3 linked regions of the Danio rerio genome follow. The protein of the gene in region 2 purifies or fractionates together with the protein of the main gene of each other region. This does not show direct contact. Links are inferred from orthologs where the notes say so. Each region holds a gene or a part of one and is shown on either strand. Other genes may lie near its edges. The genes, in order: hars, g6pd and hspb1.

Region 1 (3,655 bases), on a different chromosome or scaffold from region 2:
CAGCTCATGAAAAGACCGTTTTTGCTATTAAGATGACATGCAAATAATAAGTTATATTTCAATATAAATGTGCGGCGATCCCGGCTCAGCATCGTGAAGTTTGTTGGCCATCGGCGATTGACGATGACATTGTCTATCGGCACAACCCTAATGGCCATACAAAATAAATGCGCTATAAAATTACACATTACATTAACTTCCACAAACCAGGACTACTTGTTTATAGTTGCGTACTGACACTATGCAGTTGTGGTGATTTCAGCGATTATGAATTGCATATCGATTTTACAATCTTTATTAAAAACAGGAACTGTTTTAAAACTTGAGTTGCAGCTGATCACAGATAGTTGGAACAGATCTTTTCATCTCAATTTCTTTGTAAATCTTTTTCTGTCGACATGACTAGACGTGTCAATCAAGTGGCAGCATCCCGCTTTCTCTCATGAAGCTAATACGAAAGTGAAACTGCAAAAAATTTTAATTTTCTCTAGTACTGGCTCCATAATAAAGAAAATTTCTATTGACTCTAATGTAAAAATGGCCAAATTTACAGCAGAAAAACAGGTATTTACAGCCTGGTACAAAGAATGATTTTGGTTCATATAGCTAATATTACCCTTTATGACAACTGTGAGTGGGCTGATTTTTTTCAATAATTTTTTTTAATTTTTTTCGTTTTGTTTATATTAAGTTATATTAAGTCTGCATAAATAAGGGCATGGCCACTTAGTGACAGAGTGACAGCTAGGTCTTGGTGATCACCGTCATGTCCCCTTAGCTGATTCCGGCTGATTAGCTGCTGAACTCTGCATATACATCGTATTTTTGTTGTGTTTTATGTGGCTTTACACAGTCAGTTACTTTTTGGAATTATTTCCTACAATTATCAGATGATATGGCATGCTGTGTGCACCTAATTGCGCTCACAAACCATTCACGTGGCCTCCATTTCCCAGGTGAGTGAAATTATATACTTGTATACCATCTCTATAAATGTTTTTGTTTTAAGATCATTTATAATTTTCTTTAGACCTGTAATGCACTCCAGAATCTGACAGATTGATCAGCTGTAGGCTCTAGAACAGTCATCTGAAATGTTGTCATACAGTTTTATGCCTGGATTTCATAAATAGCCTTGCCTTTACTAACACAGACTATATCTGAAGTATTTAAAAGTAATTTGTGTTTTCTTCCTGTAGAAAAACATCATAAGAACAATGTTTAGTGGCTCAAAGTACTATAACAGTGTTTTTAAAAGACTAAACACTTTACTGCTCAGGTCAGAGGTCAGAACACAAACGAGCTGCAGGTAATGAAGTATTAAGAGTTTCTCCCAAAGACAAGCCCGTCTAAGCAAAATGCTAGCAGGCATCTCCACTGATGCTCCACATCTTTGCCCTTTTTTGGTAACCATGGTTAGCGCGATGACGTGCAAACAAAATGGTGCCTATATGTGGTTTCATTTGCACTCTTCAGAAACCTATGGGTGATGTCACGGATACTATGTTCATATGTTTAACAGCCTAAAGCAGGTCACACACCAAAAGTGCCGCTCGGCGGCGTGCCGCGCCATGCATTTTAGAATTCAAAACATAGGTTTCTATCAGGATACACACACCGGCGCTGCAAGTCGGCGGCTGTCGGCGGTGCCCGCCCACGACTCAGGACGCAGTTCATTTTCAGCCGCGCCACAGAGCACCATCTGATTAGTTTCATGTTAAATATCATTCGAATGTGCGCGTCTGGTGCGCGATACTTTAATCTGTCATGTGCGCGCCGTGGCGCGTGTCGTGGCGCTGAGCGGCGCTTTTGGTGTGCGACCTGCTTAAGGCTGAGACATGACAGTATGCGCCTGTCAATCAATTCGGTGGTCTGCAAAAAACGTGCAGCTGGCCTCAAAATGGCTGGCATTTGGATTATGATAAACCTAATAGGATATTAAAAGTGTATTTCTACCACTGTAATATGACTGTGAACCCACATCTGCACCAAAAAAGCTTCCTAAGGTTGATTTTTGCATTAAAAAAGGCTTCAAACATAATTTCAAATGGTAAAAATATCAAATCTTGCCTCTTCTCGACTGGCCACATTCCTCAGTTTGACGACGCCGTCTTTGAGCTCTTGCTCTCCTAAGATGGCCACGAGAGGAATGCCGGTGTCCTCACAGTGCTGCAGTTGACTCAGCAGCTTTGGGTTTTTCTTGTATAAAACTTCAGCCTGCAGTGGATAATACACATTGTAAGAGAACTTCAATACAACTGGAAATCCATTACGATTTACTTGTAATGTCATTCTGCCATATGCAAACCTTGATTCCAGCATTCCAGAGCTCAGCTGTGAGTTTTAGTCTCTCCTCTAGAAGGTTCTTCTGTGCTGAAGCCACAAGCACTTGAGTTTCAGTGGTGCGCACCTTCTCTGAAGACAGCTGGTGGACGGAATAGTGCATGTTGGCATTTTAATACCCTTCATATTAAAAACAAGGTGGCACAGTCCCTAAAATGTCATGTTAACCAATACAATGTAACCAGGGCTTTACATTAACTTTTTTGATCACCAGCCACTGTGGCTAGTAGATTTCCAACATTACTAGCCACTTGCCATTTTCACTAGCCACAATTTTGTTGCTTCAAAAATATATTTTGTATTAATAAATGTGTCTTTGACATGTTAAAATGACTTGATTTAGATGCTGTGTTGTCCACATGCCTCCTTATTTATTTCACTGTGTGTGTTGTGTATGAGCTTGCTCACTGTGCATGAGCAAATGGGTTGTCGCATTGCAATTGGTTTTTATTTCACATGACTTTTTTAGGGCTTAAAATTAAGGATTTACCAAATTTATCTCTGACCACACCAAAAAGGAATAATTATTTCTTAGCCACACATTTTAAATGTGTCAAAACAATCAAATATATAGCTGTATACATGCACTTTTTATTCAACAAAACATTTATTTTTTTACAAAATGTAAAAAGATCTATTGTCATGTTTCTAAAATATGCACAGTAATCTTTCCTGGCTAAAGGTCCCAGATCAGCGGTTACTACACATATATGGCGAGTTAATCTCATATTGAAGCAATGTTATTTTCAAAGGATTATAATTAAACTATATTAACAAAATAACTGTAAGCAAAAGAAAGCAGGTGAAACATACCACGAGTGATAATGAAAATATGATCACGTGCCGGAGAATAATTTAAACGAAAGCAGTGACTGCTGCTGCTGCTTACAAAAGGTTTGCTGCTTAAACGAGCATCGCTTTTTGTCTAGTCTATTTCAGAGAACCGATCGCATCAGTTGCGCTACCTCTACATGGTTGTTTCGCACAATTAAACGGGAACGCGCGCGCAGGCTTTTTAACAGTCGCGCGCATCCCATCACCTGTGCGTGCGAGTAATCATCCTCTCATAAGGTATTCACCTGCTTTTGCTCGCGCGAAAACAGTTATTTTTGTCAGTCGTGCTGCTTCCCGATTCTAAGATCACATTTGCACGCATATAGGGCAATCCTGTCGAACCCTGCTTTAAGAAAACTACAATGTAAACATTATTTGCAACCTGCCAAAGTGGCTAGTGGGAGTGGCTGTCCAACCCGCCAAAGCTGAAATCTACCCGCATTTGACGGGTTGGCGGATGTTAATGTAAAGCCCTGAA
Region 2 (4,267 bases):
TATTTACTAACATGAACAAAATTTATTACATTTTAATACATTTAAAATTTTCTTTTGCTTTAACAAAATCTAAATTTGTGCTTGTTAACATCAATGCACTGCAAGCTAACACTAACTGTATTTTCTTATATGAAAGATGTAATAATGTATTATTCCTTGTTCATGTTAGTAAATACATTAACACTTACTAATACAACCTTTTTATGTAGTGTTACCATTTAAGTTGTGTGATAAAATAGCTTTATTTCTTTATGTACAAAATATTGTCTGAAGAATGAAACTGTAATCTTATTTTGTAGCAAAGGTTTTTGAATTTCAGTGGGGCCAAAAAGAAGCTAGTCACAAAATTAAGAAGACTGACAGATTTGTTTGCCAGTTTTCTATAAAGTACTTGTTTAACTAGCAGTTAAATGCAGTGCTTCTGGAAAGTATTGATAGTGCTTCACTTTTTCCACATTTTTCTATGTTACTTCAAAATTCATTCAATTGATTTATTTCCTCAAAGTTCTACACACAATACCCCATAATGACAATATGAAAAACGATTTTTAAAATTGTTGCAAATTTATTAGAGATAAAACACCTGAAAAATCACATTTACATTAGTATTCACACTTATAAAATTATTAATCACCTGTTTCTACATGGTCTGTCTATGACTATTATACTATTCTCCATGCTTGTTGAGTTGCACACACACACACACACACACACACACACACACACACACACACACACACACACACACACACAGGGGCGGTTTTAATTATTTTGGGGATCATTCATTCATTTTTCTTGTCGGCTTAGTCCTTTTATTAATCCAAGGTCCCCACAGCAGAATGAACCGCCAACTTCTAAAATGCACCTTTTATATTTCATTTTTATTATTATTATTATTATTTTGCATATTAATAATAACATGTAAAGTATATTGTAAAACTTTTGAAACGATTTCTAAATCCGCCCCATGCACAGACCACACAGACAAACGCACACATGATTAACTATATCAGATCCATACATCAGCACTAGGTGGCGCAAAGGTGGTAAGTTTAAAAAATATACTGGTTATTTATTTTTACACTCAATGCTGCTTGCTCTTACTCAGCAGTTGTTTAAATAACATAAACATAATCTTTAGGGTAACATTATTCAAACAAAGTATAAATGTTAATATGTTGAATGTATGAAATTATACTTTGTTATTTTATTATCTGCAGTGTCATGCTGACACTCAGAACTCTTTTCCAGCTCTTATCAGCAAGACTAACACTCATTATACATTCCGCATGCGCGCTCTTTTGATTGGACTGATGAGAGTTTAGCGTGTTTGCCATTAAAGCGTTTAGCTGTCAATCACCGTGGCACATGTGTTGTTGTTCACAAGCGCCGCCCTCTGACACGTTGTCTCCGCCCACCTTAATTTTTCTCTAGCGTCGTCGCGTCGCTGACGTCAGTTTACTCCAGCCTTCTGAAATGATGGGCAGTCGAGCGAGCGCTGGTGAGTTTCTCTCTACACCAATAAAATCACAGAGCCTCACCGTGTCATTTGAACAGGGAAGAAGGAAACTGTCTTAAAGAAATGCCTCTGTAGTCTTTATTGTTACATCTCAGTCTGTTACATCCGTTTAGCCTTTAAATCCCAGTGTTTTTGTTCCGTTTAGTAAAGAACACGATATGTAAGTAGCACGTTGTTGTCATGCGTTTGATTCTGCTGGATATGTTCTTCTGTCTACTAACATTTCTAAACACAACTTGGCTTGATCTAATAGCATTTGATGTTTGGTTTAATTGCAAATAACCGAATGCTTGTTTTGAATGTGATGCATTGCATAAAATCATTAGCAGGCTGTTATTGCAGTCGCCGAGGCTGAGCCCTGTTAAATAAGGGATTGTGCTAATAACATTATGGTAAGTTCAGCCTGTGGGAGGTTGTGTTTTTGTGTACAAGATGTTTATATGTGCACTTTCTCTTGTATGCCACAGAGAGAGCACATACTACAGTCCCTACACACAGTGGTAGGATATATGTGTTTGTCATCATCCCTGTGCAGATCCTGTAGTTGTGTGATGTGATAAATTACTGGACTACTCTTAGAGCAGTTTTAGCTACTGTTGTTTATTAAGGTAAAGTTGGTTTTAAATTCACACATATCTATATTTTAAAGCCTAGTGTCCCATAATTAACAATATTATTGCATGTGAAACACACAACAAATATATATTAATAATGAATAAATATGAAATATTTAACAAGTAATTACAAATAATGTTTTTCTGAAGTGTTTGATGTTAGTCTACTGTAGGTACCACATATAGAGAAATCTGTTAACAAGTCTGCAGTTTTACTTCTGAACATTGTGTTGCTTGTTCTTATTAATACCTTTTATTATTTTAATGTGTGTATGTGTACTGAGGTAAAGTTGGTTTTATATTCGCACATCTGTTCAGTGACAACTTCCTGTATTGTTTACCATGGTACTTGAATATTCAGACTAAAATTGCATGCAAGTAAGACTTGAAAAAAATATTTACTTAATATTTAATACTTTAAAACTGTTTATTTTACTTGGAACAATGAAGTACTTTGATATTAATTGGCTGCTAATATGATTTCACTATTTATAATTAGAAACTTATACTTTTTTAAAATTATATTAAGGAGAAAGTCTGATTATGCAAACATAAAACAAACTTTACCTCAATTGTATGTGCGTGTTGTGTAGATTGGTTAAATCGCGCTTAAAAGACTTTGTGTGTGAATCTGTGGCATATTTTAAAACAGCTTTAGCCTTTCTAAAGTTTGTAATGTCTGTTACTTCCTTGTACGTTCATATCTATCTAAACAATTTCTAGTTAACTACTATTGCTTTAAATAATTCCATGGTTTCTGTGAGTTTGTTTGGGATTTAAATTCATAGGGAGCAGGTGATCATACAAAAAAAAATAAATAAATAAACAAAAATAAAAGAGCTTAAGGTTTGAGTAACTGCTCTCAAACTCTAGAATCTGGATGTAACTTTTACTGTACCTTTAGATAACACTTAGAGAAAGTATTTTCCAGATCTGTATTTTGCCTTTGTCTTGCAAATATCTAAATATTCTTAAATCAAGACATCTATTTTGGAAGCAAAATTATGACATGTTTTGTTTTGGTGAAAACATGTTTTGTTTTTGGTAAAAACATGTTTTGTTTATGTTAAAAAAATCCCATCTGTAAAAACAAATCTGCCTAATTGTCTCAGAAAATGTACTTATTTGGAACAGAAGCACTTTTCATACTGTAGAAGATTTTTTTTTTTTAGACCATTAATTGTGGATTTTGCATATATTGATAATATAGCCTAATTACTGTAGCTCCAATAAGGGGAGAGAATCTCAAATTGCTATGAAATGGTAAAACAAGATTTTATTTATTTCTTAATTATTTACTATTTTACTAGGAAGGAGAGCTAAAAATATAAACCATGAAAGGACATTACCAACACAAGGCTTCTATTTATCACTGCTAAAAGCATTTTTTTTTTTATTTAACATTTATCAAAGATAAGGACATGCTTTTTAATTCGTGACTGGAATTAATGTGTCTGATTGTATGAACATTTGAGCTTTGTGAGACTGTGGTTTAATCTTTTTCTGACCTCTTGGCAGACAAGATGAGCCTTCCGCTCTCACGTTCAGAAGTGTTTGGGCAGTTGAGGAAAGAACTGCATGATGATACCGCATTTCACCAGTCAGATGTGCATATTTTCATCATCATGGGCGCTTCGGTAAGTCTTTATTATTTTGATTTATCCGTCACATTTAATGAGGAATTAACACAGTTTCATATGCAGTCATGAATTTTCTTTTACTTTGCACACCTTGCATCTGCTTATGGACCACAAATAGATTTAAACATTTTTTTTTACAGTGACTGCAGATTTCTAGAAATCTATTAAATTTTCTGAATAGATACAAATGCATATGCTCATCATCACACCTTAGCTACGAATTTGTAAAAGCACAATGAAAGGGGATTTGTGTGTGTGCGCGTGTACGTGTGTGCGCGCGTGTGTGTGTACGTGTGTTTGTGTGTGTGTGTGTGTGTGTGTGTGTGTGTGTGTGTGTTTGTGTGCGCATGTATACAAATTAATTTCCAGATTTTTGTTTCATTTTACTAGAATGACATGAAATCAGAACTTTTCTGTCCTCTTTGTAAACATCTCACAACTCTCCCCCAGCAGCCCTTGCCACAAAAACTTATTTGTTGCATAGTTACACATGT
Region 3 (4,395 bases), on a different chromosome or scaffold from region 2:
AATAATTGAAAATATAGCCAGAAAGGTTGTCCACTGCAGGCTAAGTGGAGAATTGCATTAAAAAAGATATGCTTCATTCCTTAAATGTATTAGATATTAAATAAATATGTTCTTGCAAAGTTCCAATTGTAACTTTTTTTTTTAATTAAATGATAAAAATATTTAGAAAAATAGTCAAACTTGTATTTATAGAGCATATATTTGCATAAATGCATGTTTAAGCAAAGAAATTAGCATTTTAAAGATTATATTTTACTGCTAATGTTTTATAGTAAGAGTATTAAAGAGATAGTTCACACAAAACCTTTTCAAACCTTTTAAATGTTCTTTCTTCTCGAACACAAATGAATATATTCTGAAGAGAGCTGAAAACCTGTAACCATTGACTTCCACAGTAGGAAAAACAAATGCTATGGAAGTCAATGGTTACAGGTTTCCAACATTCTTCAAAATATCTTCTTTTATGCCCAACAGAAAAAAGAAAGTCGAATAGGTTTAAAACAAGTGAGTGAATGATGAAACAGTTGTCATTTTTGGGTAAACTAAACATCCGAGCCTTAGGTTGAGGATGCAGATTTTTTTAGTGTATAGCTTTATCCTTGTTCAACTCTAAATATCCTGCAGATGCTGTTTTGAACTGTGCTTGGCTCCGGCGTCGTAATATCTCAGGAATTTAGCTGGCTGCTCTTGTCAGCTCCCACCCGACACAATACAAAAGGTCTCCCAGCAAGGCCTGTTATTCATGCATTTATTTCACACTTGACCACCTCTCTTCCTCACTCAAGCCTGTAATTGTGCACATAATAAAGCATGCTTTGGAAAACACAAAGTTGGATCAAATGTGGACAAACACAATCATTGGGGGGTGTCATTATTATTTTGAATAGCATTTTTAATCCAACATATTTTACAAGTCGTGATTAAAAGGTCTGACTAAGCCAAAAAAGACACTGTCATAAAGTCAAATATTGGGGAAAAAGTCATCATTTTAATATATGAAGTTAAAACTGCCAATTTAAATAATATCATAATTATGATACTAGATACAATATCGAAGACATTCTGTAAATAAGTGATAAACATTCATGACATTAAATTAAATACAAAATTATTAAAAGTTATATTTTTAATAATTTATTTTGATAAAAATTGCAATTTGGATATGAAATCAAATCGAGTCAAACAGAATCAAACGGAGTCAAACAGTCTCAAATAAAAACCAAACAAATAGTTAAAATTAAGATAGTATAAATTAAAATCAAATCAAATGTGTAATAAAATCTAAAGCAAATCAAATAGAATCATACCAAAACAAATGCAATCAAATCAAAACAAATTAAAATGATGTAAAATCAATGAAATAAAATTAAATTAAATGGATAATAAAATTAAATTTGAATCAAATCATACAGAATTAAAAAAAATAATAATAATAATATAATTTTTTAAAAAATCATAATAAATGAAATCAAATAAAAAAGATAATAAATTGAAATCAAACCAAATCAAATTCAATCAAACCAAACAGAATCAAATCAAAACAAAATGAAATAAAATAATATAAAATGAAATCAAACCAAATAAAATAAAATAGAATAAAACATAATAATACAAAATTTTGTAATAAAAAATAATAATCAAACAGAATCAAACCAAACGAAACGGAATCAAATCAAAAAGAATAAAATCAAATTAAAATAATATAAATAAAATGTAATCAAATGGACTCAAATCAAATCAAAAGAAAATAAAGCAAATCAAATGGATAATGAAATAAAATAAAAATCCAATTGAATCAAATCAATATAAATGGATAATAAAATAAAATGAAGTCAAACAGAATCAAACAGTTTCAAATAAAAACAAAACAAATCAAGTTAAAATAATATAAATTAGAATAAAATAAAATGGAATCAAATCAAACAGAAAAAAAACAAATCAAATGGAATCAAATCAAATCAAAACAAATTAAACTGATGAAAAATAAAATGGAATCAAATCAAACAGAATTAAAACAAAACAAAATTTAAATAATACATAGTAAAATAAAATAAATTAAATGATATTTAATTCAACAATCAAAACAAAACTAATTAAATGAATATAAAATAAATTAAAATGGAATCAAATCAAATCAAACAAAATTAAAACAAAACAAATAAAATTCAATTAAAATATAAATTGAAATTAAATTAAAAGCAATCAAATCAAACAGAATCAAATTAAAACAAAACAAATTAAAATAATATCAAATCAAATCAAATTAATAGTAAAATCAAATCAAACCGAATCAAACTAGATCAAACACAATCAAACCAAAACAAAACAAATAAAAAATAAAATCAAACAGAATTAAAACAAATCAAATTCAATTAAAACAATATAAATTAACATCAAATCAAATGGAACCAAATTAAATCAAATCAAAACAAAAAGATCAGAAAATCTAATTAAAATCAAATCAAAATGCAATCAAACCAAATAAACTCACCAGTGATCTCCAGCACCCCGTCTTTGGTTTTAACGTTCAGCTCCTCGGGGGAAAAGTGATTGACATCTAGGCTGATCTTCCAAGAGTCTCCGGTCTGCTTGACCTCCGACATCCCAGAGCTCAGCTGTCTAGAAAGGGCTCGTCCGTAACTCGGGGTCATCATAGGAGGCATCACAGGTGGGCCCTGCATTAAAGAAGCAAATTCGGGGTGTCCGAATGGTCGCATATACCCTGGCCAGTGCGTGCTGGGAAACGTCAACATCTCCTCAGATAAAGCAGGCATCCCGAAAGACTGATCGAACAGTCTGCTGCCCTGATACCAGTCCCGAAACGGGTCCCAGGACGGGCTGCGCATGAAGGAGAATGGGATGCGTCTCTCGGCCATTGCTGCAGAAGTTTTGAAGAGTTGTTTTTCGGCTCGGTTCAGAGTGTGTGTGTGTGTTCTGATTGTTTGCATGGGGCTGGGACTTTTATAAGAAGGCTTTCTGGAGGACACACCCACTTCAGGACACTTCTGCAACAGCCCAGTCCCGTCCGGATAATTATAGAAGTGACTAGAAAGTCTATTCAGGGACGGCCCTCGCATGAGGAAGGAATCTGAGGCAAAGGCTGATAGTGTGTATTTAATACTGGACTGTGAACAATATGTTGGTGAATTCAAGTTTTTTGTATTTTGTGACTTTTGAATTGCATTTTGGGAGCTTGATCTTTCTTTTAACAACTCTGAACCTTGACTTTTATTATTATTTTAGTTTAAAGTGATGTATTGTCTTGTATATTACGCTGCAAAAACCTTATAATAAACTGCCCTTATTACATTTTCTGTTATTTTACAGACTTATTTATCTTTATATTATTTTGTATTAATTATTCGAAATGTCTGAAACTGTAGAGCTGTGTGAAATAAATAAATAAATAAATATATATATATATATATATATATATATATATATATATATATATATATATATATATATATATATATATATATATATATATATAATTATTATTATTATTTTTTTTTACAGTATAGTAAAATACAGTTCACACCACAGTTAATACTGTATAATTTACAAAAATCGTTATGGTTTTTTACCGTAGCATTTTTAACCATTGAAATCATGGACTTTTTTTTTCAATGCAGAATTTTTATGTGTTTTATTTTTTACATTTTACATTTGAACAAAAACTTTGAGTTAGAATTGGCTAGTGGTATGAATAATTTAATGCTTGACTGTATATAAACACTTTTCACACACCCTGCCTGTATATTATATTATGTTATTATATAGCAAAACAAAACTAAATCAAACCAAAGCAAAAAACAAAACAAAAACAAAGGAAATCAAACCAAAACAAAATGCAAACCAAATCAAATTAAAAACAAAGCAAAGCAAAAGAAATGAAACAAAATCAACCAAAAACAAAATACAAAGTGAAAATCAACCAAAAACAAAATACAAAGTGAAAATCAACCAAAAACAAAATACAAAGTGAAAATCAACCAAAAACAAAATACAAAGTGAAAATCAACCAAAAACAAAATACAAAATACAAAGTGAATCAAATAAAATAAAATCAAAAACAAAGCTTAGCAAATCAAATGCAATAAAATCAAATTAAGGCAAATCAAATCAAAACCCAAAACAAATCAAACCAAAACAAAACAAATAAAACCAAAACAAAATTAAATCATATCAAATTAAATCAAATTTAATCAAATCAGGTCAAATCAAATTAAAACCCAAATCAAATCAAATCATATCAAAACCCAAAACAAATGAAAATAAAACCTAAAACAAATCAAAACCAAACATAACAAATCAAATCATATCAAATCTAAACCCAAAACAAATCAAAACAAAACAAACAAAATCAAAACAAGCAAAATCAAAACAAAAAAC

Evidence for each region.
Region 1: the proteins of g6pd (region 2) and hars fractionate together in Homo sapiens (co-fractionation; 3 studies listed by BioGRID). This does not show direct contact. The link is inferred for Danio rerio from reciprocal best matches to the Homo sapiens genes G6PD and HARS1.
Region 3: the proteins of g6pd (region 2) and hspb1 fractionate together in Homo sapiens (co-fractionation; 3 studies listed by BioGRID and IntAct, with this or other methods). This does not show direct contact. The link is inferred for Danio rerio from reciprocal best matches to the Homo sapiens genes G6PD and HSPB1.

The regions. Positions count from the first base shown.
Region 1 is NC_133189.1:7,931,099-7,934,753, reverse strand, and holds part of hars (histidine--tRNA ligase), read right to left. Parts: intron 2,426-3,655; coding exon 2,309-2,425; intron 2,218-2,308; coding exon 2,071-2,217; intron 1-2,070. UniProt on the Homo sapiens protein: Catalyzes the ATP-dependent ligation of histidine to the 3'-end of its cognate tRNA, via the formation of an aminoacyl-adenylate intermediate (His-AMP). Plays a role in axon guidance.
Region 2 is NC_133198.1:15,411,612-15,415,878, reverse strand, and holds the start of g6pd (glucose-6-phosphate 1-dehydrogenase), read left to right. Parts: upstream 1-1,455; 5' UTR 1,456-1,476; coding exon 1,477-1,501; exon of another isoform or gene 1,502-1,664; coding exon of another isoform or gene 1,665-1,679; intron 1,680-1,845; exon of another isoform or gene 1,846-1,911; intron 1,912-1,986; coding exon 1,987-2,019; exon of another isoform or gene 2,020-2,127; intron 2,128-3,651; coding exon 3,652-3,770; intron 3,771-4,267. UniProt on the Homo sapiens protein: Catalyzes the rate-limiting step of the oxidative pentose-phosphate pathway, which represents a route for the dissimilation of carbohydrates besides glycolysis.
Region 3 is NC_133180.1:4,132,375-4,136,769, forward strand, and holds the start of hspb1 (heat shock protein beta-1), read right to left. Parts: upstream 2,941-4,395; 5' UTR 2,877-2,940; coding exon 2,492-2,876; intron 1-2,491. UniProt on the Homo sapiens protein: Small heat shock protein which functions as a molecular chaperone probably maintaining denatured proteins in a folding-competent state. Plays a role in stress resistance and actin organization.